4 linked regions of the Caenorhabditis elegans genome follow. The protein of the gene in region 1 interacts with the protein of each later gene in a pairwise test. Each region holds a gene or a part of one and is shown on either strand. Other genes may lie near its edges. The genes, in order: lin-41, inx-8, hcp-3 and let-99.

Region 1 (6,019 bases):
TCGATAATCTGCTTGATAGTATCACCAGTCTTCTCACATTGCCATTGCAATAATTGACTCTCATTAACAACTTCTCCAACAGCAACTCGAATATCTCCAAGTGGCTGAACTCGATGCTTTCCAGGATGTTGAGCAACACAGATTGCACACAATAGAACTGAATGAGGACAATTCTCACAGATTCCAATGATTACTGAATCATGAGTTCCACACACAGAAGAGCTTCGAGGTGATGATTCTCCACTGCCAATTGAATCATTTTCAACGCCAGACACATGTCCTGAAAAGAAAACTGAAACAGTTTGAATTACTGTAGAATATCTTCATATACCATCTCCACTTCCAACTGATCCAAGTGCTTGACGAACTGATCCTCCAACATTTTGAGTGTATTGCTGTGCTTGTTGTGGTTGAACTGCACGGCTCATCTGAAAATAATACTTTTAGATTTTAGAGGAATTACGTGTTCGCCGAGCAAAAAATAATACTATAGTGCAAAAAGAGCACCGGATGAGGAGCAGACACCTCTCTCTCTCTCGGCACTAAATTGGCCCTCCGACTGGCTTGTGAATAATGGCGAAAAAAGGTGGTTGAAGGAGAAGAAAAAGGGAAACGAACGCCTGGATGTTGAAAAATGGGAATTTCCTAGTACGTGGACATATTCGGATAGAAAAATCTATAAACTTGTAAGGAAAGTATTTCAGCTCTGAAACTGCTTTCAGTAAATTGTTTTCTTCGAAATGTGGATTTTTGCAAGCTTTTGGTGATGTTTATGGTGTTTGGAGGTAAGCAAACACTCTGGGAGCTTTTTGGAACTTGGTTTTGTTTGAAAAATGTGAAACTGCTGACACAAGTTTCATTTAAAAATCTAAAAGTGAGCTGAAATACTTTCCTTGATAGTTTTCAAAAAGTTATTTTCAAGAAGTTTTACTAATGTAGTGGAACGGTCGGCAGCCAATTTTTGTGTTCTAATCCTGCAATCAGTTACTGATAAGACATTTAAAAACGGAAAAATACACCAAAAAAGTACTGATTCTGTGTTTTTTCTTGATTGACAGGAGTCATTGATTTATGATTATTGCGTACTCTTTTTATGATTCCTGATTACAAACGATTCACGTCATCAAGCACGTGGAGAATCTTGAAACGGATCAAGGTGATATTAATATAGACCACATATATTATTTTTTGCTCCCAAACTACGGTATCATGTCTCAAAATGTCAATTTTTGTAAACTACAAAAAGGTGTGCGCCTTTAAAGAGTACTGTAGTTTCAAATTTTTGTAGCTGTGAATTTTCATCGATTTTTTATGGTTTTAATTTTTAATTTTAGGTTTTCGATAAATAAATATACAAATATTTAATGAAAAACAATGGAAAAGTTTAATTACAGTACGTTTTAAAGGCGCATACTTTTTATGAATTTCCAAAAAAATAATTGTCGTGTTGAGACGCAAAAAGCGTGTAGTAACACACGATAAGATAAAAACTAACCAAAGTAGCCATCAACTGCTGAAGCTCAACGAACGCATGTTGTTTGGTGGCTCGAACACGCTGATGAGCTTGAACACAATGAATACACAAAGCTTCCTGACATTGCATACAGTAGGCGAACGATCTGAAAAATTTAAATATAATTTAATTATCTTTGAAGTTTTAGGGGAAAACTAACATTTTCGATTCGCATCCTTGACATTGAATCGGACCCATTGGCTGTTGTTGTTGTGGCTGAGATCCAAGTGGTGAAGGAATTGGAAAAGTTTGCTGTGATTGTGAAGACATTGGTGTTGCCAATTGAAGACGTGGCGTCGAGCACATGGAATTACGTGGTGGAGCTATGGTTGCAGAATGTTTTGGAACATCTGGTGATGCCATCAATGATGGTGGCATATGCATTGAAGTATTCGTTGGAGAGAGTGGAGAGAATACAGGAGTATCATCGTTCTGTAAAGAATACGAGGAATTAGGTGCAATTTCAGCTCGCAGGAGGGCGCATTTAGCAAAAAAAATTAGAAAAAAGACTTATTGAACTTATTGAAGCCAGGGAGAAAAATATGTTTCTTGGGAAGAGAGAAATGCTAACTTTTTTTTGCGAAAAAAATGATTTTTGAAATATTATGGGGCCGTAGAAAAATGCTCATTTTTTAATCGAGGTCCACCCCCAGAAGTTGGGTCTCGTTAGGTATTGACGGCGAAACCGTAAATTGAACCATTTTTCGATTTGCGACCACATAATATATAACATCATAAATTCGGGAAATTGAATTTGTTTATAGCTCCACACTCCACAAAATTGTACTTTTCTCTGTTTGAAATTTGATAAAAACTGACCACTGCCAACGAATCAAACACATTTTGCATCAACATCGGCGATTGTTGCTGGTGTCCTCCGATGCTCGACAGATTATTGATAGAAAGCTGTGATGGTTGTTGCAATGGAGACCATGATGTCAAACTGCTGTCCGAGTCGGGGAATCCAATTGGACGCATCATGAGCCCACCAGCAGACGATGGCATCCGTGCACCCATCACTGGAGACGGTGATCCAGGCATTCCACTGAGTGAGAATGAGAATGCACGAGGTTGATGAAGTGGAGTTGATGCTGGAATTTGGGTTATTCTTCGGTGTAAATTGAGAATTAAAACATACAATTAATGTGATTATTCATCGTTGGTGTCGAACAATCCGACATCAGAGCTCCACGTGGCGGTGATGGAAGCGTCGGAGACAGGTACATCTGCGATGTAAAGTTGGCGGTGGCTGTCGATACGGCACCACACAGCTTGCAAGCTAAAATTCATAAATCATACAGAAAGTTGAGATATTTATTTACCCCGTCGATCGTACGAGGACGGTGTCATCTGGTAGCATGATTGGCACGTTCTAAAAATAATTGTCATTTTGATAATTTGTCTTGAAACCCCACTTGTGCGCACAAACGAACGGCAGCACTCCAATCGTCGAGCTCTTGGAGCAGACTGAGCACCGAAAGGAGTCTTGCGGGAGTCCGAGTCCGAATCCAGTGTTGAACTGGAACTGTGGTTGCTGCTGTGGTGACTGAATCATTGACGGTGGAGTGTCAAATAGTGAGCCAGTGAACTGTGGTGGTGGTGGTCCCGAGCCAAGATGATTATCCTGATGATGATGGTTTGGTGAATGCTCACCGCGATGGTGGGACATTGAGTCACCTGAAGTTGTTTCGTTGGAAGCTTTTTTTTCAATTTTCAAGTGTTACCTTCACTGCTGCTTCCGCCCATCGACAGCTCGTTTCCGCTGTCGTTGGCGTCCACGTCGATCTCAGTTTGAAGCCGACGAGGTCCTGATGGTGCTCCTTCTTCTTTCTCCAATGAGCATGGCACGATGGTCGCCATTTCACTTTTTCCAAGTCTGAAAAGGTTGATTAATTATCAGTGGAAAGGGCAAACGATGACTCTACAATTAGAATACTTATGAATTTTTTGACTTTTCAGAACGAATGGAACAATTAATCGAACAAAAAAGTCAGTGAAGCACAAAAAAAGTGCACTTTTTATATGAAAATAATGGAACAAAATGAGAGAAAAATGGCCCGAGGGCTGCTGATGACAAGGATTTTTGATGGGAAAATCAGAAAAATGCCGCTCTTTCAATTTAATATTCGAAAATAAAAACAAAAAACAAAAAATTAAGTAGTCAAAAAATTTGTGGTAGGTCAAAATTTTTCGAATAAAAAAATTTTATTAATTTTTTTTCGACGTTTTTAATTTTTAATATATTTTCGCATTTTGCTTTGTTATTTAAAAGTTCCTCACCTTTATTCAAGATCACGATCGTTTCCAACGTCGCATTCCCGCCGTTTCCGGCTCTTTTTGTACTTTAAGTTGGTTTTTATCCTAAAAAACCAACTTTTCCCTCCTCCAGCGACGTCGAGCCTTTTCCTTGAGTAACGAGGCGATCGGCTCTTCCTTTTTACCCGTTCGCCAACCGTGGCCTGAAATAAAACGAGACTTAAATATATTAATTGAATGTTTTTCAAAAATTATCGAAAAATGATGCGACAATAAAATAATAAAACAAATGGGGTTACGGTAGCTTATCGATTTTTCCTTGAAAATACGGGGCGAAATGAATTTGAATGTATCTGAAGATATTTTTAAAGAGTTTTTTGTAATAAATTTGTTAAAATTTTATTTGATAGAAGAATTCACTGAAAACACTTATTTTTAGATGAAAACTCGTAATTTTATGTGTTGGGTCTCGTCACGAACACAAAATTTTTCCAACCGACTATGCGCCTTTAAGGATTACGGTACGGTTCTCTATCTCAAAAATTGTTTTACCAAACATTTTTTGCGACATAATTTGTTTTTTCGATAAATTTTCAAAAAAAATTAAACAAAAAAATCTGAAACATTTTTCCTTCCAAAAAATTCAATACGGAAGTAAGTTTTTGAGCAGCTCCTTAAAAAGTGATGGAAATGGCAAACATTTTAGGCTTTGTGAAAGCTTTACAGGGATTTAATCGAAGCAATAGAAACCGGGAAGCGAAAATTGAAGAATGCGAAAAACACTAACTAAATAAACATCTCGCGTTGGATTAATCAAAGTAAAATAAACAAAAACGCCCCTTTTTTCGAAATTGTAGGAGTTTTCTGGACAATTCTCTAGGTTTTCCAGGCCAAAAACTTAAAGTTGGAATTTGTCTTAGGATCACATTTTACACCGAGTGATTTTTACTATGTGGCCGCGACATACAAAAACACGGCCACCTTCCTAAAAGGAGCTATGGTCATTTTCTCGAAAATCTGCTCGTTGAAATAACTTGGTCGGCAAGCTTCACAAAGTTCTGAAGTGAAAAATTAAAGATGAATCACTGGCCGAATTTTTGGACTTTCTAGGCCACGTAGCAAAAACCAATATATTGTACGAATTATGTTCTGGATGAACCATATAAAAGATACATGTCTAACTATTCATTGCTAATTTTTATTAAATATTACATGTCCGGATATCTGGAAGCAAAGTTTCATGAATTTCGTTTCAATTACTGATTTTTATTTCTAAGACTTATTGAACTTGTGACCTTTTGACCTAAAGTCTCAAAATATCATAAAGGGGCGTGACATATCTTTTTCATATCAAGACAGATTCTAACAGATATACATTGGAAGTAACTTCAATTCATTTTTTGAAAAAAAAATCGCAAAAACCTATGGGACATTGAACACGGTGGGAACGATAAAAGTGTGTGTATGTCTGTGTGTGTGTGTAGAAGTCTTTTTCCCCTCTTTCCTCTCCATTTCTCTAAATTTCCACCCCTAGGCTGCCCCGCTGTCTCCCCCAGGCGCCCCAAATGTCTGTAGTCTCTTCGTCGTTCCCACTCTCTACACACCTGGGGGTGAGCGCCGCGCCGAAGGACTGCTGGGGGTAGGCTGCACGAGAGTGGACAGATGGTTAGAGAAAGAGTGAAAACTCTTTTTTTTTTGCGGAAAAAAGGGGAAGAAGGGGAAGACGAAGAGACCAAAGTGTTTCTCTTTCACTGGGCTCAGTGCTTTTGATCTCTGCGTGTCTCTAGTTTGTTCTCTCTTTCTCATTCTTTTTTCCATTCAGTGTTCCCCTCTCACCCCCAGTGATCTTCTCCGCCGCGCCGTCGTCGCAAAAACAGAATTTCGTGCCAAAAGTGCAAGGCCTCATGTTTGAAAGAGTAGTGTACTTTTTCACTTTTTTCGCAAAAAAAGGAGAAGAAACGTCGCGAAGCGTGCGTTTCTTTTTTTAATACCTCAGACCGAAACTAACCAAACAGGAATTGTGAATGAAATAAGAAATACAAATTAAGGCGAACAGTGAAAAATGAAGACCTCTATTACATAGTCGTCTAAAGATGGGAGTTTTCGACATACCATAGGCGCATTGGTCTCGCCACGCGGACAACAAATTACCGTATCTCATGTCTAATTATGGGCCGTTATTGAATCATATTTTAAAAATTGAATCAAAAATTGCTGTCAAGATTTTTAAAACAAAATTAGGATGCAACA
Region 2 (5,177 bases), on another chromosome or scaffold:
ACTCCTTAAAATAATAGGTTTAACTATAAGGTTTGAATTTTTAAAATACAATTACTAGAAATGATTTTGTTCCATTCAAAAATAATTATTGGAGACTGGGGAAGCTATTAAACCCTTAAGCCCTAAAGTTATTTTTAAAAAAGTAGTATGGGATCTCAAAATCCCAATTATCACAAAATTTAAACGAAACCTATGGGTTCCGGTTTCAAAAATTATTGTTTTTTGTTTTCATAATAATGAATTGTGTTTCACAGATATGACTTAAGAAAAAGAATTAGAGAAATGAAGAAACCTCAAGTCAGAGTACTACAACAGTATATCGTATTTGTATTTTATTCTCTATGAAGAAATACTCACAAAATAATCCTTTAAACTCCCAGAAACGGCCCGTAAAACAACATGGTGAAACTAAAAACGTTGACTGAAAATAATTTACCTTTGGGCTGAAGTGAGAATGGCTGCGATGATGAAGAGGAAGGCAGTGATGAGACATGAAAGGGTATCACTTGCATCATCAATTGCTGTGATCCCAAGATGACTTGTCAATGAGGTAAGAAATGGAACAGAAAACATTCTGTCCCTTTGAACCAAAGTGACAATGCTCTGAAAGAATTTTTCATTGAACGAAATTAAAAATGAGATTGAAATATTGTCTTTCGAGAATCAATGATTGAATTGAAAATTGAAAATGCTTGAAAACATGGACAGACAGAACGAAAAATTATTGTCAATAACATGTGTCGGCCTCCCAACTGTGTGGTATTTATACACGAATGCAGAGTTTGTGGGCGGAGCTTGCGTCGTCTTCCAGTGGGTGGTTCATTTTATGAATCATCTGCAATTGAGACCAAGGATGACATGGAAAAATTGGTTATTGATTTTGAGATTTTTGTCAGGAGTATCGAATGATCAATGGGATGTGAAATTACAAGATTTCGCCTAAAGATTTTTCTCAAATGTCTGAAGATCGGATAATAAGACCTATATCAAAGTGAAATGATGCCTTTGCAATTTTTTAAATACAAAGTCAGAACCTTGGCTGCCAAAAGTTTAAAGTTTCTTGCAACATCTCTCACTTACAAAAGACGGTCGCTCTTTTTATTTCGAAAGTTTTGAATTTAGGTTTTTGATAGTGAAAAATTAATGAAAAAACGGCTCAAAGTTAGTTTCTAGATTTTGACTTTAAAAAACTTTTTTTTAAAATTCCTTTTTTTAGTTCGACCATGATCTCCTATTCGATCTCCTTTCCGTTCTAACTTTGAGTTCAATTACCAAATATATATTGAAGTCAATACATCTGTAAAACAATTTTTCAATATCTCTAGCATTTCAGTTTATTTCCAAAGGAAGCCGTACAAAATCAAAAATCACCGGGTAATTCTACTACTCGATGGTAGTATTATTCACGGGTCGAACGTTACAAAATTAAAGAGTTAAAGCAATGTGAAATAAGAAAGATAATTATGACAAGAATGGCGGATGGGAAAACATGGAAAAACTATTGCTTTCCGTTCTTCAAGATGTTGTTGTATTTGTCCTCAGCGATGTTGGCACGGTCTCTTGCTTCCTGAAAATGTAGGAATTGGAGGATTTTCAAAAGAAAAATAAGTGCTTGCCTCCGTGAATGTCTAACTATTACGAAAATTGTTGAAAAGACTTACTAAAAAGTCGCTGTACATCTCCACGGCAACCTCCGATGCTACCAAGTCACTCTGAGATTTGACAAAACTCAGTATAAGTTTTCCGTCCATTGTGAGATACTTCTCTCCAAACTCTCTGAACAATTCCTTCTGATCGACAATATCATGATCCCGGATAGCAAAAAGAAGACTGTGGATGAAGTATGGCTTCACAATTTGAGCAGCGTTGTAGAAATGAGCGATGAGAGTGGAGAAGACGAGAAACACAAGCCAGAACCTGGAAATGAGCAGCAAATGAGCACTGAGTTTTAAAAAAAATCAGAGACTTACCAGAAGAACAAGAAGATTTTCTCATTGAATTCATTGATTCCAATGACACACTCGACAGTTTCATCTCGATTATTTCCGGCCATCTCACGAACTTGGAAGTCACAGAAGGTAACGCGAGGGAATAATCCAGTAGTTTCCCAAGTGATTCCATTGAGAAGATTCATAAAGAGAGTCCATCCCCAGAACAAATTCCGTTTCTGTCCAAGAAAGATTGCAATAATTACAAATTGAGCAATTGCATTGACGAGGTAGAGAATCTTGATAACTGAATAGACCATGTACATTCGAATGAATGAAAACAACGACGGAGTATGAACGGAAGTGATCTTTGTACGCATGAATCTTGCCATTTCCTTGATCTTCGCACTTCTCTTATCCTCAGTTTCATTCTTGATTTCATTTGCAGTATCACAGAAGTAGACAACAGGCATGTCAGTTGTAGATTGAGAAAGTCTCCAAAGAAACTTCGGAATCATGAAAGCAATTCCAGCAACTGCCAAGTACATACTGGACCATTGATAGTAGGTAAGACGATGACGTTCTTTGTGATACATTGGAATATCTGTCATGGATTGTTGTCTTGGATAGAAGTAGGTGTCCTTCAAGAAGCAGTAGTTTTCAGCAAATTCTCCCCAGTCTCCAGAATACGTTTGCGGGAGCCAGCACTCCATTGCAGAGCCGACATACCTGGAAGAAGTAATTTTTGAATAGTGAAAGACTACTCTATTTGCAGGATTCGGATTGAGAGCTGGTAAAAAGTTTAAATCATCAAAATACGCACATTTTGAACAATTGGAAACACTACAATCTCTATATTTTCAGTGACTTCTATTTTTGATTGAAAGCTAAAATAAAGCGGGTATTATGAATTTTAATTTATCTTTTTTTCTATTATTCCCGCAGGCGTTTTCCGGGCAAAAAACGGAGAGGCAAAAAAAATTTACAAGACTTTCAAACGAGAGAAGGAAACAACTTACGTCTTGGCTGATGTGAGGATGGCTGCAGTAATGAAGAGGAAGGCAGTGATGAGACATGAAAGGGTATCACTTGCATCATCAATTGCTGTGATCCCAAGATGACTTGTCAATGAGGTAAGAAATGGAACAGAAAACATTCTGCCCTTCGAACCCGAGTGAAGATGCTCTGAAAGATTATATGTATGTTGAAGAGTGAAGAAAAAAAGAAAAGCTTTTGATTGAGCACAGATTGAAATGAATGATTGAATGGAAAGTTCTGGAAAACAGAGGAATGGGCGGAACGGAAGTAGATAGAGAAAAGCAAAAAGAAAAGCATTTTTATTGGCCACCAGTGGTAATAGGGACTGGTAGGCGGAGATTGCAGCGAGACACTGGGGGTCTTCCAAATGGTATGACTCATTAGAAGAAGGGGAAATCAGGTCGAAGGAAAAATGAACAGAAATTGAGTGTTCTACAATAAATTCAATAAAAAATATTTTCTCTGTAAAACTGAAAATAAACTGAATGACAATAAAAATTTAAAAATAATGAGGGAAGTACACGTGGCGGACTGTGCAAGACGTTCCACGTGTGAGGTCACGGGGAAATTAGGGCAAATTTTGTTTATTTATACGACGCGATTCTAACAACTTTTCCGGAACCTTACAGTGATATTGACTATATGGTCAGTGTCTTCATTAATTTTAAAGTTTCTAATAAATCATTGTACATTCCAATAAAAGGGTTCGTATGGGCGGTACACTTCAAAAGTTGCGTTGCGCTTTGGAAGCTGATATTCACTATTTTATCAAGGTCACAAAAAGCCTTTCGTTTTTGTTGTTCGACAAGATTCTGAAATTTGAATGGATATGTTCTTTTCACTCTCTTTAATTATTCTCTTATTTTTTTTCTTTGCAGAAACTTTCACTATTTTTCTCATTCACTTTTTTGTGTGCAATCATAAATATTTCTCTCAAATTTTATCAATTTTCCATTAAATGGGCGGGATGGGAACTTCATTTTTCAGTTTTGCTGTTAAAAATACCAACAAAAAAATTGGGTTGGTGCAAAGAATAACACCAAGTGATATTGTGTGAGAGAGGATTAGAGAGTAAGGAAACCTTCAGAATTTGAAGAAGCCTGCCGTGATGGGGGTTGAGGTGTCCAAGTCAAATGGTCTAGACAGTCGTCTGTCTGGGAGAGAGTTCCATGTGTCCTTCCTTCGTTATGTTGTTGATCTCTTGTACTTCTTGGACCACTTTTTGAATGTTCTAGAACCCTTGCCATCTGTCGTATAAGTTTTGCAACAAATGTCGATAGGGATTGGAACCATAAAAGCTGAAAAATGTTTCTCGATACCACCTATGTTTCAAAGATTATTGGACTGTTGCAATATGGAAAAAATTTTAAAATTAAAAAAAAAACGGATTATAGCAATTTCCAGAACAATCCCTCAAAAATTGTTTTACTTAGTTTATTGTAATAACACAAAAATCTGTTAGATCTATTTCAGAAATTTTTTATCAGTACTTGAATATATCATATTCTAAGTTTTCTAGGCAGTAACTAAATTTCTACCTGCCTGCCTACAGTCGTACAAAACCTTGGACCATTTCGTCGTGAAAAACTGATAGGATGCAAAAAAAATAACCTACTTCTTCTAAGTATGCGTAAAGTTATTACTATAAATAGTGAATAAGAGAGTTTTGCATGCCTTGTATGCACCAAAGTAGGCATTGTTCATAAGCTTGCCCTGCCAAATATTTGAAGCCAAGTGCTTTCAGCTCTCTCTCTGAAAAGGAAAATTTAAATTTTTACAGGGTCACTTATTTGACTCCAGATCTCCTTCCACCCTCTATGATGTCATATTTTCCCCAATTAAATCGGCTAACTTCAAAAGACCCCATTCAGACGACCGATCTATTTGTTCTTTCCATTCGAGTCGCAATTTTTGAAAGCCTTTGGTAGGTACAAATATATTTTTGTTGCAAAAGGAAAGAAGAGGGAAAAAATTGGAAATAACTTTCGTTAACGATGGGAACTTGAGAACAACGGGGGAAAGATAAATAAACTGAAGGTCATCCATATGGGGAAAATGGAGCTTGACACAAGAAGTTGGGGTTAGAGGAAAAAGGGGATTTAAAATGGTTTTGAAATGTTAATCCAAGTCGAAACTTTTTGGGTAAAACATGTGCAGGGCCAAATGCCAAGGAACTTGGAAAATCCGAGGTAAAATTTAGTATTCTAACAA
Region 3 (4,362 bases), on another chromosome or scaffold:
ACCGTGAACGAATAGAATATTGACCGACTCCGTAGGTTTTGAAATTCAAGAATTCAAATTCATTCAGCTGCAGTTTTGGTTTTTTTTTCGATTTTTTTCCTTATGATTTCTGTGCCAATTATGTACACCTAAAAATGTTTCCTTTCACTGAGAACATCTCGACGCGCTCATAAAATTCAATTGTTTAGTGACAGACGTCACGAAAGCATTTTACGCATCATTGTGATAGTATTCTTACACAGTTTGTCACCCCATTCGTCGTCGCGAATATTTCTTCATGTGTTCAATCTTTTTTTGGGCAGAATGTAGAAAAGAGAGAGACAATACTGCAAAAGTGATATTGAAGAGGTTTCCGTGTGTGTGTGTGTGTTGGTGTTTTGAAAATTCTAAAGACACAGAATTGGAAAGGAAAATGAATCAACACGGAACACGTACACTTTTTTTTGGAAACAAGTTTAGTATTAACTTTGCAAAACATGTCATGTCTATCGTTCTATCGGGATAATGGTATTTGAAAAGAAATAAAAAATAAAGAAAGAAACCAATCAGCGTTTCCGGACTCCGCCCTTTTTGTCTGATTGGTGGAAAAGTGTGCGGAGCAATTTGCTAATTGGTATTGCAGTTCTTGTTTTGGAGGGAATTCAAATTCAAACAGAGCGATTAGCCGAATTTTTTGGCATTTTAGACTTTTTTGGTATTTTAAAATTATAAAAGTTGGCTTATATGTTTTCAACAAGCTTCGGAAAGCTCATCGAAATAAAATAGGTTTGCTAGTTACGAGCCTTTCCTGAATCACTTGGTGTCAGGATCAAGTGTTTCATTTTTCGATTTTTCGCTGTTTTGATGGGAAAAAACATGGAAAAAAGCGGTAATTGAGACGTAGTTTCCAACCATTGTCACTCGGTTAGCAGGCACACTTTTCCGGCCGAAAAATTTTTTGAATTTTTTTAATATCATATATAAAAAATCCTATTTAAAACTATAGATCAGTTATGAGACGTCTCATGAGACCACGTGATTCGAATTGAAAACTTGTGCTATGTCATTGCAGTAGACTCGGCTTATCGAACACTGGATTACCAGGTCCAAATATAAATTTATTATAATTTTTTTGCAGCGAAGTTTTAAGCGTTCTTCGATTATAAGAGAATATTAGCTCTAATTATTATTTCTAGACCTGCTTGAATAATCGCCTTCCGCGCAAGCGGAAGTTGCTGGCGCATCTCTCGTGTTACTTGCACATTTTAGTTTTTCAAAGCGCGCGGAAGCGCGAAAATTTGGTTTTTCTTTTCTAGAATTTTCTTTTGTCTGTTGATGGTGACTCTCAGATTATTGTCACCTAAAATTAGGAATTATTTTGATTTTTTTTCTTTTTTTTTCCTTTTTGTATCAGACTATTTTTACATTTTTGTGTGTTAAAGCTCCAGAGTGTCGTGAAAAACACCGAATCATTGTCTTCTCCGGCGAATATTTGTTTTTTCACTGCACTTTCCAAAGTTATCTCGATAAAAAATTATACAGCTAATCTCATATTATATATTATCGCTGTATGCGAGACACAGCCCAAGGCAGTCCAAGTTTCGTGAAGTTTTGATGGAATATTTATGAAGAATCGTTTTTTTTTCGAAAAAAACAACACAATTGTTCAATCAGCTGAACTAAATTTTTATAAGACCCAAATATTGATTAATTAGGCGACCCCCGGGGTTGAGTCCGTCATTTATGTTGTTTTGTGTGCACTTTAGCGTGATGTCGTCTGCGTATTTCCCTGCGTCTCTCGCCGCCAATCGTTACTTATTTAAACTGCGTTCGCATTTATTGCTTCTTTAATTCCTTTTTAACCTTCAAACAAATCGTCTTAATTTAGCTTCAGTTTTCTAAATTTTATATTTTATCAGGATAATCTTCGAACAATGGCCGATGACACCCCAATTATTGAGGAAATCGCCGAGCAAAATGAGAGCGTCACAAGGATCATGCAACGTCTCAAACATGACATGCAAAGGTAAGTGATGATTTTTGTTTTCGTGCTACAAATTAATGTCTGCTGTTTCAGAGTCACTTCAGTGCCGGGATTCAACACAAGCGCCGCAGGTGTCAACGATTTGATCGACATTCTGAACCAGTATAAGAAGGAGCTTGAGGATGATGCAGCCAACGACTACACTGAAGCGCACATCCACAAAATTCGATTGGTCACAGGCAAACGGAATCAATATGTCTTGAAGTTGAAGCAAGCCGAAGACGAATATCACGCGCGAAAAGAGCAAGCTCGGAGAAGAGCTTCGTCTATGGATTTCACGGTTAGTTTCAATTTTGTATGATTTCAAACAACATAAAATTTATTTCAGGTCGGCAGAAATTCCACGAATCTTGTCGATTACTCCCACGGCCGTCATCATATGCCCTCATACCGTCGACACGATAGCTCCGACGAAGAAAACTATTCTATGGATGGAACAAATGGCGATGGAAATAGAGCTGGCCCATCGAACCCCGATCGTGGTAATAGAACTGGCCCATCGAGCTCCGATCGCGTGCGGATGAGAGCCGGAAGGAACAGAGTCACCAAAACGAGACGTTATAGACCGGGCCAGAAGGCATTGGAAGAGATCCGCAAGTACCAAAAAACTGAAGACCTTCTGATTCAAAAGGTATACAATTTTTACTTTATTTAAACTATATTAAAACAATTCCAAATTTCAGGCTCCGTTCGCACGCCTCGTCCGCGAAATTATGCAGACTTCCACTCCATTTGGCGCCGACTGCCGTATTCGTTCTGACGCCATCAGTGCTCTTCAAGAAGCGGCGGAAGCATTTTTGGTCGAAATGTTCGAAGGATCGTCTCTTATATCCACCCATGCGAAACGTGTCACACTCATGACAACGGATATTCAGTTATACAGACGTCTCTGCCTTCGACATCTCTGATAACAATATTTGCAATACTCATTTTTCGATCTTCAAGCCATATTTATCTCATCAATTTTAGCGCTGTTTGATCTTTTGTGTACCGTGAACACGTTTACTATTTGTCAAATAATAAAGATTCATTACTTGTAAATGAGAACATTTTATTTAATCACTTGTTCGAACTAGCTTTTCCGAAAATATGAATAGCTCGAAGCTTCTGATAGACTCCTTCGCAGCATCTTTGTACAATATCCGTGTTCGGATTCTGTTTGGCCCAGTGATAAATTGCTCTGAAATTGACCACGTAAATAAGCCTTTTCTACTTTCAAGAATCCAACCTAACAATATTAACAGCATGCGAGAGATTTCCGAGTTGTGCTTCTGCGAGGGCGGTATACAGGTAGCATCGTGCAAGAATAACTGGATCTCCATATTTTTTCGCTAAGTTGATTTGATGAGCAGTAATTTTTGCAGCGACTTTCGCCTGAAAAGCTAGCGTTAAACTAAAGTGTAAACTGATAACTTACATAATTTGCATCGAAATCTCCCATAGCTGAATAAGCGCCACCTAGAGTAGACAAGTTCCACATGAGCTTTTCGAGATCAAGCATGTATCGGAAATGGTGTTTCAAACGTCTTTCCCAAGCATAATCGAGATTTTGTGCCGGATTTTTCACTTGGATGTTGACAAGAAGTTTCTGAAGCTTAAATATAATAACTTCTGGCAATAGAAGATAAATTAGTTACCTTATCGACGGGAATATTATAGAAGGCACGTATTTGAGCAAACGAATATTCTTCACGACACTGGAGAATATTCAAAAATCCGTACAAATCGTCCAAATTCGTGAATTCGAATACTAGTGATTGGGTACCTGCAATTATTTTATATTAATTAATTATTTGCTTATCTGACAGCTTACTGGTCGATGGAATTTCCGTAGAATGTTTTATTGAATTCATTTGTACACTGAAAATGAGTATAGAAATGGAGAGAAAATGGTCTTTTAGAGAAAAATAAAATAATGCAAACGCGCCCTGTTGTACACGCCGCGAAATTGGAATTTAAACCAGTTTACCGCACTACATATGTGCCTATTTCTTGAGGATTTCATCTTTTTTTAGCTTGAATTTCAATTGAACCAAATATTTATAGTTTTTTTTCTTTTCAGAAATGTCTTATAACTCCATCAGACTTCCACAAGATTTGCCAATATACTACAAAAACTTCTTCCCAGTCAAACCATTCACAAAATGGCTCCGCTACGGACAAAGTGAGTTTCGAATTTCGATTTTCTTAACGAAATTTGAAATTTGCAGATAACGGAGACTATTTCAACCGCCGAGAATTCGCATTCATTCTGGCAGATGACGTTCATATCAGATATCGTAGTTACAATGACGAACACGCATTTTTCAAAGCACTTTCAAGTACTAACCCGGAAAAAC
Region 4 (5,878 bases), on another chromosome or scaffold:
GAATCTTAATTTAATAAGATGTGATCTTCTGGGAAAATAGGACTTTGCACCATCTAATAAAAATATATGCTGTATTTCCTCTATTAGTCTCTATTAGTCTTGCACCCCACGGACCAATTGAAAATTAGTCTTTCATTTTATTTAATGCGAAAAGGTTTGCGTCTCTAAAGAGTACTGTAATTTCAAACTCTCGTCGCTACCGCTGTGATTAAGAAATTGCCGGCCCAGGTGTTGCAAAAAAAATTGCCCACATTTGCCAAAATTTACAGGATGTTGAAAAATGCTTTCAGATGCTGCCAAATATTTCAGAAAAAATACTGAAAATTGCTGGAAGGCCGGTTCTTTCAGAATTTCAATTTTAATCGGCAAAATTGTACGCATCCTATGATTTTTCCTACGTCTATTTTGAAAAGTAAACAAGTTCTATGAAAATATCTAAAGAAAACGGGAAGAAATTTTCAAAAAGGCACAATTTTAAACGCTTCCATCTTATAAAAAGTCCCTCCAAAACTTCCGGCAAATCGGCAAACCGGCAATTCAATTTTTCCAATTTGCCAAACGGCAGTTGCCGCCCATCTCTGTCACAAAGTATATGTTAATGTAGAACCAAATTTCTAAACTTTAAACTCATTAAAAATGAAAAAAAAAACCAATTTGAAAACTATTAACGCGAACCGAAAATGTGTTTTGTGATAGAAAATTTGAAAAATTTCAACCTTCGAACTTTGAATTTCCGTGAACATTTCTTCCCCTTACAATTTCTCATATATAAAGCCTCCGAAAATCTACAAAATTCATATTTTCTCACTTTACAAGATTCAAAACCTCTCGGAAGCGAAAAAAGAATAATGATCTCGCAAGTGAGTTTTCTGTCAGGATTCTGATATTTTCCAAACCTCTCGCTTCCAGATCATTTTGCTATTAACTCTCAATATCTTGCCATTTGTGCTGGTCCATTGTGGGAGCAAGAAGAAAACAGTGGCTCCAAAACCGGTCGCTAAACTTATGGCAGCACCTGCTGGAGGAGTCGGAAAAAGCGACTCATTCGATTCGAAGAAACAAGACGTTCCATCGTCAAAGAAGGATGAACCAGTGGCTCCAAAGAAAGAAGATGTGAGTTATTTTTGGCATATTTTAAAAGACAAAACGAACGTTTTTAGGAGGGCAACTACGAGGAGCTCGCCATCCCACAATAGTCCTCAATGTATCCTAATAAATTTTTTGAAATTCCCCCTTTTCTGTGTTATTAAAGCATAGAAGAAAATAAATACATATAGATAAATCATCGTCAAAATTTATGGAACAAAACGAACATCGAGAATTTCAATTCAACCAGAATTGTAAAATAACATTTAGAAAAATGATGATAATGACACAAGAATTCGGTGAGCGGGGAGGAATGGAACAAAATAAATAATATATTGAATATATACATGGGGCGAAGATTTTTAGATTTATTTACGCAGCAATCTTGTGAACAATCCTTTCTTCGTTTTCTCACATGCCACTTCTCTTAGTGGTTTCTTAAAAACTGCCGGAGATGCTTGCGGTTTATCCGGAACTGGTGGTTGCCAATCATTTCGACTTCTGGTGATCTTTGCGTACCGAGGACCACTATATCTGTCCTTTTCTTCACATTCCAATCGTTTGACCTGTTCGATAAATTCAACAGGTACTGCAAAAAGAGATTGAAAGTTTGCGAGGAGGACAGCGGTTATCAGCATTCCTTGTTGCTTTCGGCATTTACTACAAACACCTGTCCAGAGTCCGATGATTGCCTGAAATCGAAAATTTAAAATTGATATTACGCAGACGCAAAAGTTCGCGACAAAAGTACGGTACCGGTCTCGAGGCGACAAATTTTTCTTTTGTCGAATGAAACGAATGAAGATTTCTGCAGAATTTTAATTGTTGAAATATAGGTGTTAATTTTGTAGTGCTAAATTGATAAATATTTTTTTTTATCAAATAACTAATTAAAATCCATAAAAATTCGGCAGAAATGAGAGTTTGAAATTACAGTACTCCTTGAGGGCGCACACATTTTCTTATCTAACAAAAAGTTGTCGTGTCGAGACCGGTTACAGTAGTTTTCTTGCAAAATTATCCCCTCCTTACCGCTTCCCGATTGTTGGAAGATCCGTTAGAAGGATCAGCGAGGTCGAAAACTGCATTCGTTTCGATCGATTGAATGAATGTAACAAATTTGTGAAGTTTCCGACGTCGTGAAGTTGGAAGCGAAAGAAGTACCAATTGAATTGCTTCGATCAACCATTGCTCTCGGATTTCGTAGGATTTTTCGTCTGAAATTATAATTTTAAGTAAAAATCGTGAAACTGTAATAAAAATAAAATTCTTTACCTTGTATTTCCAAATTCACTCTATTATCAAATGGTGATAACGCACGTCGTCGATACTTTGAAGCTCGAATTCCGCATGCTGGAAGATCACGGGAGAATCCATCGACCATCAATCCAGCCTCCTCAATACTAGACGCAGACGAAGAAATCATCACTTTCGACCATCGCCTTGCAGGCCCATTGTCAAGCATTGCCGCGAAGCTATCGATTTTGCAGAGGAGATTAACAATAAGAGAGCATTCATCGAATTGAAGAGGAGCATTCAAGTCTTCGAGACGATTGACTAGAGTTATGAAAATCCGATTGACGTTGTATTCCAACCCTGTGTCCATTTTTTTATGCGTGACGAAGGGATATCGAACAAGATAATCCATGAATTGAATAACAGTTTGGGGATAATCGGGCTGCAGTCCCTGACATCTCGATTTGACGATTCCATCAGCATGATCTATTTCAATCATGTTCCACTGAATATCGTATCCATCGACTTTAGATGCCCATTCACAGGGAAGAGTGCGATCGTAAATTTGTTCCAATCGTCCAAGCAGCTCTGTTTTCCAAAATGAGCATTCGTTGTTTGCCTGGACAGAGTCTGCAACTGGAACAACCGACGATCTTCTCATGATGGATTCGTACATTCTTCCACGCGATAACAATGCTGGATTTGATCCTGCGATGCTTGTCCGATGATTTTGATATCTGCTAGGAACTGCAGGCAACGGTCCTTGTGGATGCATAAAGACGACGTCTTTCGGGGCTTCTCGAATTGGCGGAGTGGTTACTTTCTGACTACGAAGAGCAGCTTCAGCTTTTTCTTGTTCCAAAACACAATGATTTCGATCAAGGGATGCTGAACGACGGGTTGGTTGATTGACTTTCGTGTGATTTCGTCTTGATTTGAAAAACGGTAACCAATCATAAACCTTCTCTTTCATCTCAGAAACTTCTCGTTTTTCAGTATATTCTTCTGTACAGATACTTTCAAGTGATCTGTTCAAAATCTTCGGAGTTCGTTGTTTCTTCGGGATTTCATCGTCTTTATGATCATCGAAACCGTGATTCTCAACGCCGCCTGAAGAATTATCGATGCCTGCTTTGTCAATGTTGCCATTAGATCGCGATAATCTTCGTGGGAGCCTTGCCTTTGGTGGCCGGTGCATTGTCGCGGCAGGAGAGGCAGGTTGAGCAACTCTGGAAATATATTTTATAGCACAGTTTAAAATGATTATTTGGCATACTTTGCACTTTTGCGAGCACCACTGAAAGACGCTGATCGACGTGATCGGGGCTTGGGATGCTTCAACTCATCCAAAGTCTTCATGAACAAATATATTCTCGATTCACTGAATGGCCTCCTTTGCTTGACTTTCTTCGGGAAGGCTTCTGAAATCACGTTCATGTCCATCATGAACTCCAGGAACTTCTGCATCTTGTCTCGTTCCGGAACATTGTTAGGGATGATTCGTGGCATTTCAATCATCAGAAAATCCACAGCTTCTTTCCCGCTGAAACTGTTTTCCGCAGTGGCCAATCCTCTTCTGTTCGTTTTGAGTGATAAGTTTGAACGAAAATGCCATAGAATTTCGTCGAACTGAAAATCAGAATAAAATTTCAAAAGACAAATGTGAAACATTTTAATACCAGATGCGTCGCCTTGAACTTCTCCGATGAGTAGTCGGCAGACATCACGGCAAGACGGCCTAAAACTTGAATTTTGATGGTTTATTGATAAATTTAAGAACTTCTTAAAAGAAAACGAGATTTCATCACGAAAAAAAGCAAGAATGAGGAAAAATTTCTGGAAACTTCCTAAAAATTGCTGAAACGAGTGAAGTTTTGGCGCCGAAGTTTTGTTTACGGACCAAACACACGAAAACACGACTTGTCACACAACTTATTAGCTACAGTAACCCATTCTGCTTTGAAAATTTCTCTTTTTAATTAAAAATTCCTCGATTCAGATGTTTTTTTTTTCTCAAAGTGTTTCTAATAATTATATTTTCCTCGAAATCCACACTATTTTACATAAAACAAATCATCTTATTCTGCTCTTTTCGCCGTTTACACCATCTGTCCTTCTCCAATGACTCCTTCTCTGCGTCTCTTTCACTCTCTCGCCGCCCTCTTTTTCTCTGTCGTCTCTCACTTCGACGTACTTTCTCTCGTGTTGTTGTTCCCGTACTTTTGTGTGTTCCACTGTTTGTGAGATGACGGCTAGTTGCCTGGTACTGGATTCTCACCAGTTTTAATTGATTTTTCATCAAATTTTCTTTAAAAACTGATTAAACTTTGTGATTTTTATCGTATTTTTACAGATTTTCAGTTCAAAATGTCCGATGAGAAGTCTACCACACCAACCGCTCAACTCGACGCTCCAGCCGATGGAAATATGAATGATTTGACGTCGTTGGTACGTAAATACTTGAAAAAAATTGTCAATTTTCTAAAAAATCCTAAAACTCAGATACAAGGAGTTCTGCAACAGACACAGGATCGATTCCAGCACATGTCGGATCAGATTATTCGGCGAATCGATGATATGACAACGAGAATCGATGATTTGGAGAAGAATATCAACGATTTGCTGCAATCGAACCAAGTTGAACATCCGCCAAGCGCTCAATAAGATTGGTACGGAATGAGAAAAATGGGAAACATTCTCAAAAATTTCGGTCGATGTTTTGACCACTCGTTATTTTTGAAAAACAGTGTTGTTTTTGATGTCGACTTTGAAATTTCAAAAAAAAACAATAATATGGGCCGTGGGACCCAATTAGAAATACAGTAAAAAACGCTCTTTGGCCGAATATTTTATAATTTTCATGTATGAAGTCAATCCTTTTATTCCTTCTTAACTTTAGTTTGAAATATATTTAGATTTCCTAGCGCCTTTCCAATCGATTTACCACGTGGTAATCAGGCCGATTGCACCGTTATTCCAAGACTTTATCATTAAAAATTAGTATAAAAATATAGAACTTCACCTATTAATTTTGGCTGAAAAATTCGCCGAAGAGCTCAAAAATGGTCTGAAAGATGCCAAATTTCCACTAAAAAATCAATTTGTAGAGATTATTAATAACTAATCTCTCTTCAATTTCTATTTTTTCCAGCTCTACACTCTTCCCAAATGAATCATCGTCGCTTCCTTCTTCATCATCATCATAATTCCAATTCGTTTTGTGTGCTTCTCTGCGTCTCTCCTACATACATATACTCTTTTCACGTCTTCTTCTTCTTCTTTTTCTACTGATTATGCACGTGTTGAGAGGATTCATGACTACTATGTTGTGCCTCCTGCTTTTAATCTCTTATTCAATAACTTTTGTTGCATTTTATTACGATTTTCGGAATTATTTTATTTATATGTGAAAACACAAATTTTGCCAAAAATTCAAATTTTTGTGCATTTTTAAAAAAAATTTTCAATATGAAACTATTCATCTTACTTTTTCTTCTTCTTCCCTTGAATTTTTTCTCATACTAAATGTTGATTTCTCACAGTTTTTACTAACTAT

What was found.
Region 2: the proteins of lin-41 (region 1) and inx-8 interact in a two-hybrid assay, tested with the Caenorhabditis elegans proteins (one large-scale study listed by BioGRID).
Region 3: the proteins of lin-41 (region 1) and hcp-3 interact in a two-hybrid assay, tested with the Caenorhabditis elegans proteins (one large-scale study listed by BioGRID).
Region 4: the proteins of lin-41 (region 1) and let-99 interact in a two-hybrid assay, tested with the Caenorhabditis elegans proteins (one large-scale study listed by BioGRID).

What each region holds. Positions count from the first base shown.
Region 1 is NC_003279.8:9,338,525-9,344,543, forward strand, and holds the start of lin-41 (Protein lin-41), read right to left. Parts: upstream 3,973-6,019; 5' UTR 3,794-3,972; intron 3,390-3,793; 5' UTR 3,374-3,389; coding exon 3,238-3,373; intron 3,191-3,237; coding exon 2,929-3,190; intron 2,886-2,928; coding exon 2,836-2,885; intron 2,793-2,835; coding exon 2,652-2,792; intron 2,605-2,651; coding exon 2,333-2,604; intron 1,946-2,332; coding exon 1,674-1,945; intron 1,620-1,673; coding exon 1,496-1,619; intron 429-1,495; coding exon 332-428; intron 293-331; coding exon 1-292. UniProt on the Caenorhabditis elegans protein: Heterochronic protein which acts downstream of let-7 in temporal patterning. Plays a role in the developmental timing of postembryonic hypodermal seam cell division and fusion events and adult alae production.
Region 2 is NC_003282.8:11,671,780-11,676,956, reverse strand, and holds inx-8 (Innexin-8), read right to left. Parts: upstream 3,114-5,177; 5' UTR 3,085-3,113; coding exon 2,948-3,084; intron 2,658-2,947; coding exon 1,971-2,657; intron 1,918-1,970; coding exon 1,662-1,917; intron 1,568-1,661; coding exon 1,499-1,567; 3' UTR 1,322-1,498; downstream 1-1,321. Other genes in the region: inx-9 (Innexin), read right to left, coding at 437-573. UniProt on the Caenorhabditis elegans protein: Structural component of the gap junctions.
Region 3 is NC_003281.10:9,614,005-9,618,366, reverse strand, and holds hcp-3 (Histone H3-like centromeric protein hcp-3), read left to right. Parts: upstream 1-1,896; 5' UTR 1,897-1,913; coding exon 1,914-2,005; intron 2,006-2,056; coding exon 2,057-2,303; intron 2,304-2,351; coding exon 2,352-2,654; intron 2,655-2,706; coding exon 2,707-2,931; 3' UTR 2,932-3,061; downstream 3,062-4,362. Other genes in the region: F58A4.6 (DUF4807 domain-containing protein), read right to left, coding at 3,083-3,203, 3,252-3,397, 3,441-3,611, 3,661-3,788, 3,837-3,876; pri-1 (DNA primase small subunit), read left to right, coding at 4,088-4,187, 4,234-4,362. UniProt on the Caenorhabditis elegans protein: Histone H3-like variant which exclusively replaces conventional H3 in the nucleosome core of centromeric chromatin at the inner plate of the kinetochore.
Region 4 is NC_003282.8:12,566,024-12,571,901, reverse strand, and holds let-99 (Protein let-99), read right to left. Parts: upstream 4,061-5,878; 5' UTR 4,047-4,060; coding exon 4,002-4,046; intron 3,952-4,001; coding exon 3,599-3,951; intron 3,552-3,598; coding exon 2,362-3,551; intron 2,304-2,361; coding exon 2,119-2,303; intron 1,779-2,118; coding exon 1,455-1,778; 3' UTR 1,280-1,454; downstream 1-1,279. Other genes in the region: K08E7.4 (uncharacterized protein), read left to right, coding at 849-860, 910-1,113, 1,161-1,196; hsb-1 (Heat shock factor-binding protein 1), read left to right, coding at 4,690-4,770, 4,825-4,986. UniProt on the Caenorhabditis elegans protein: Required for the proper orientation of spindles after the establishment of polarity. May play a role in interactions between the astral microtubules and the cortical cytoskeleton. Required for asymmetric forces on nuclei and spindles.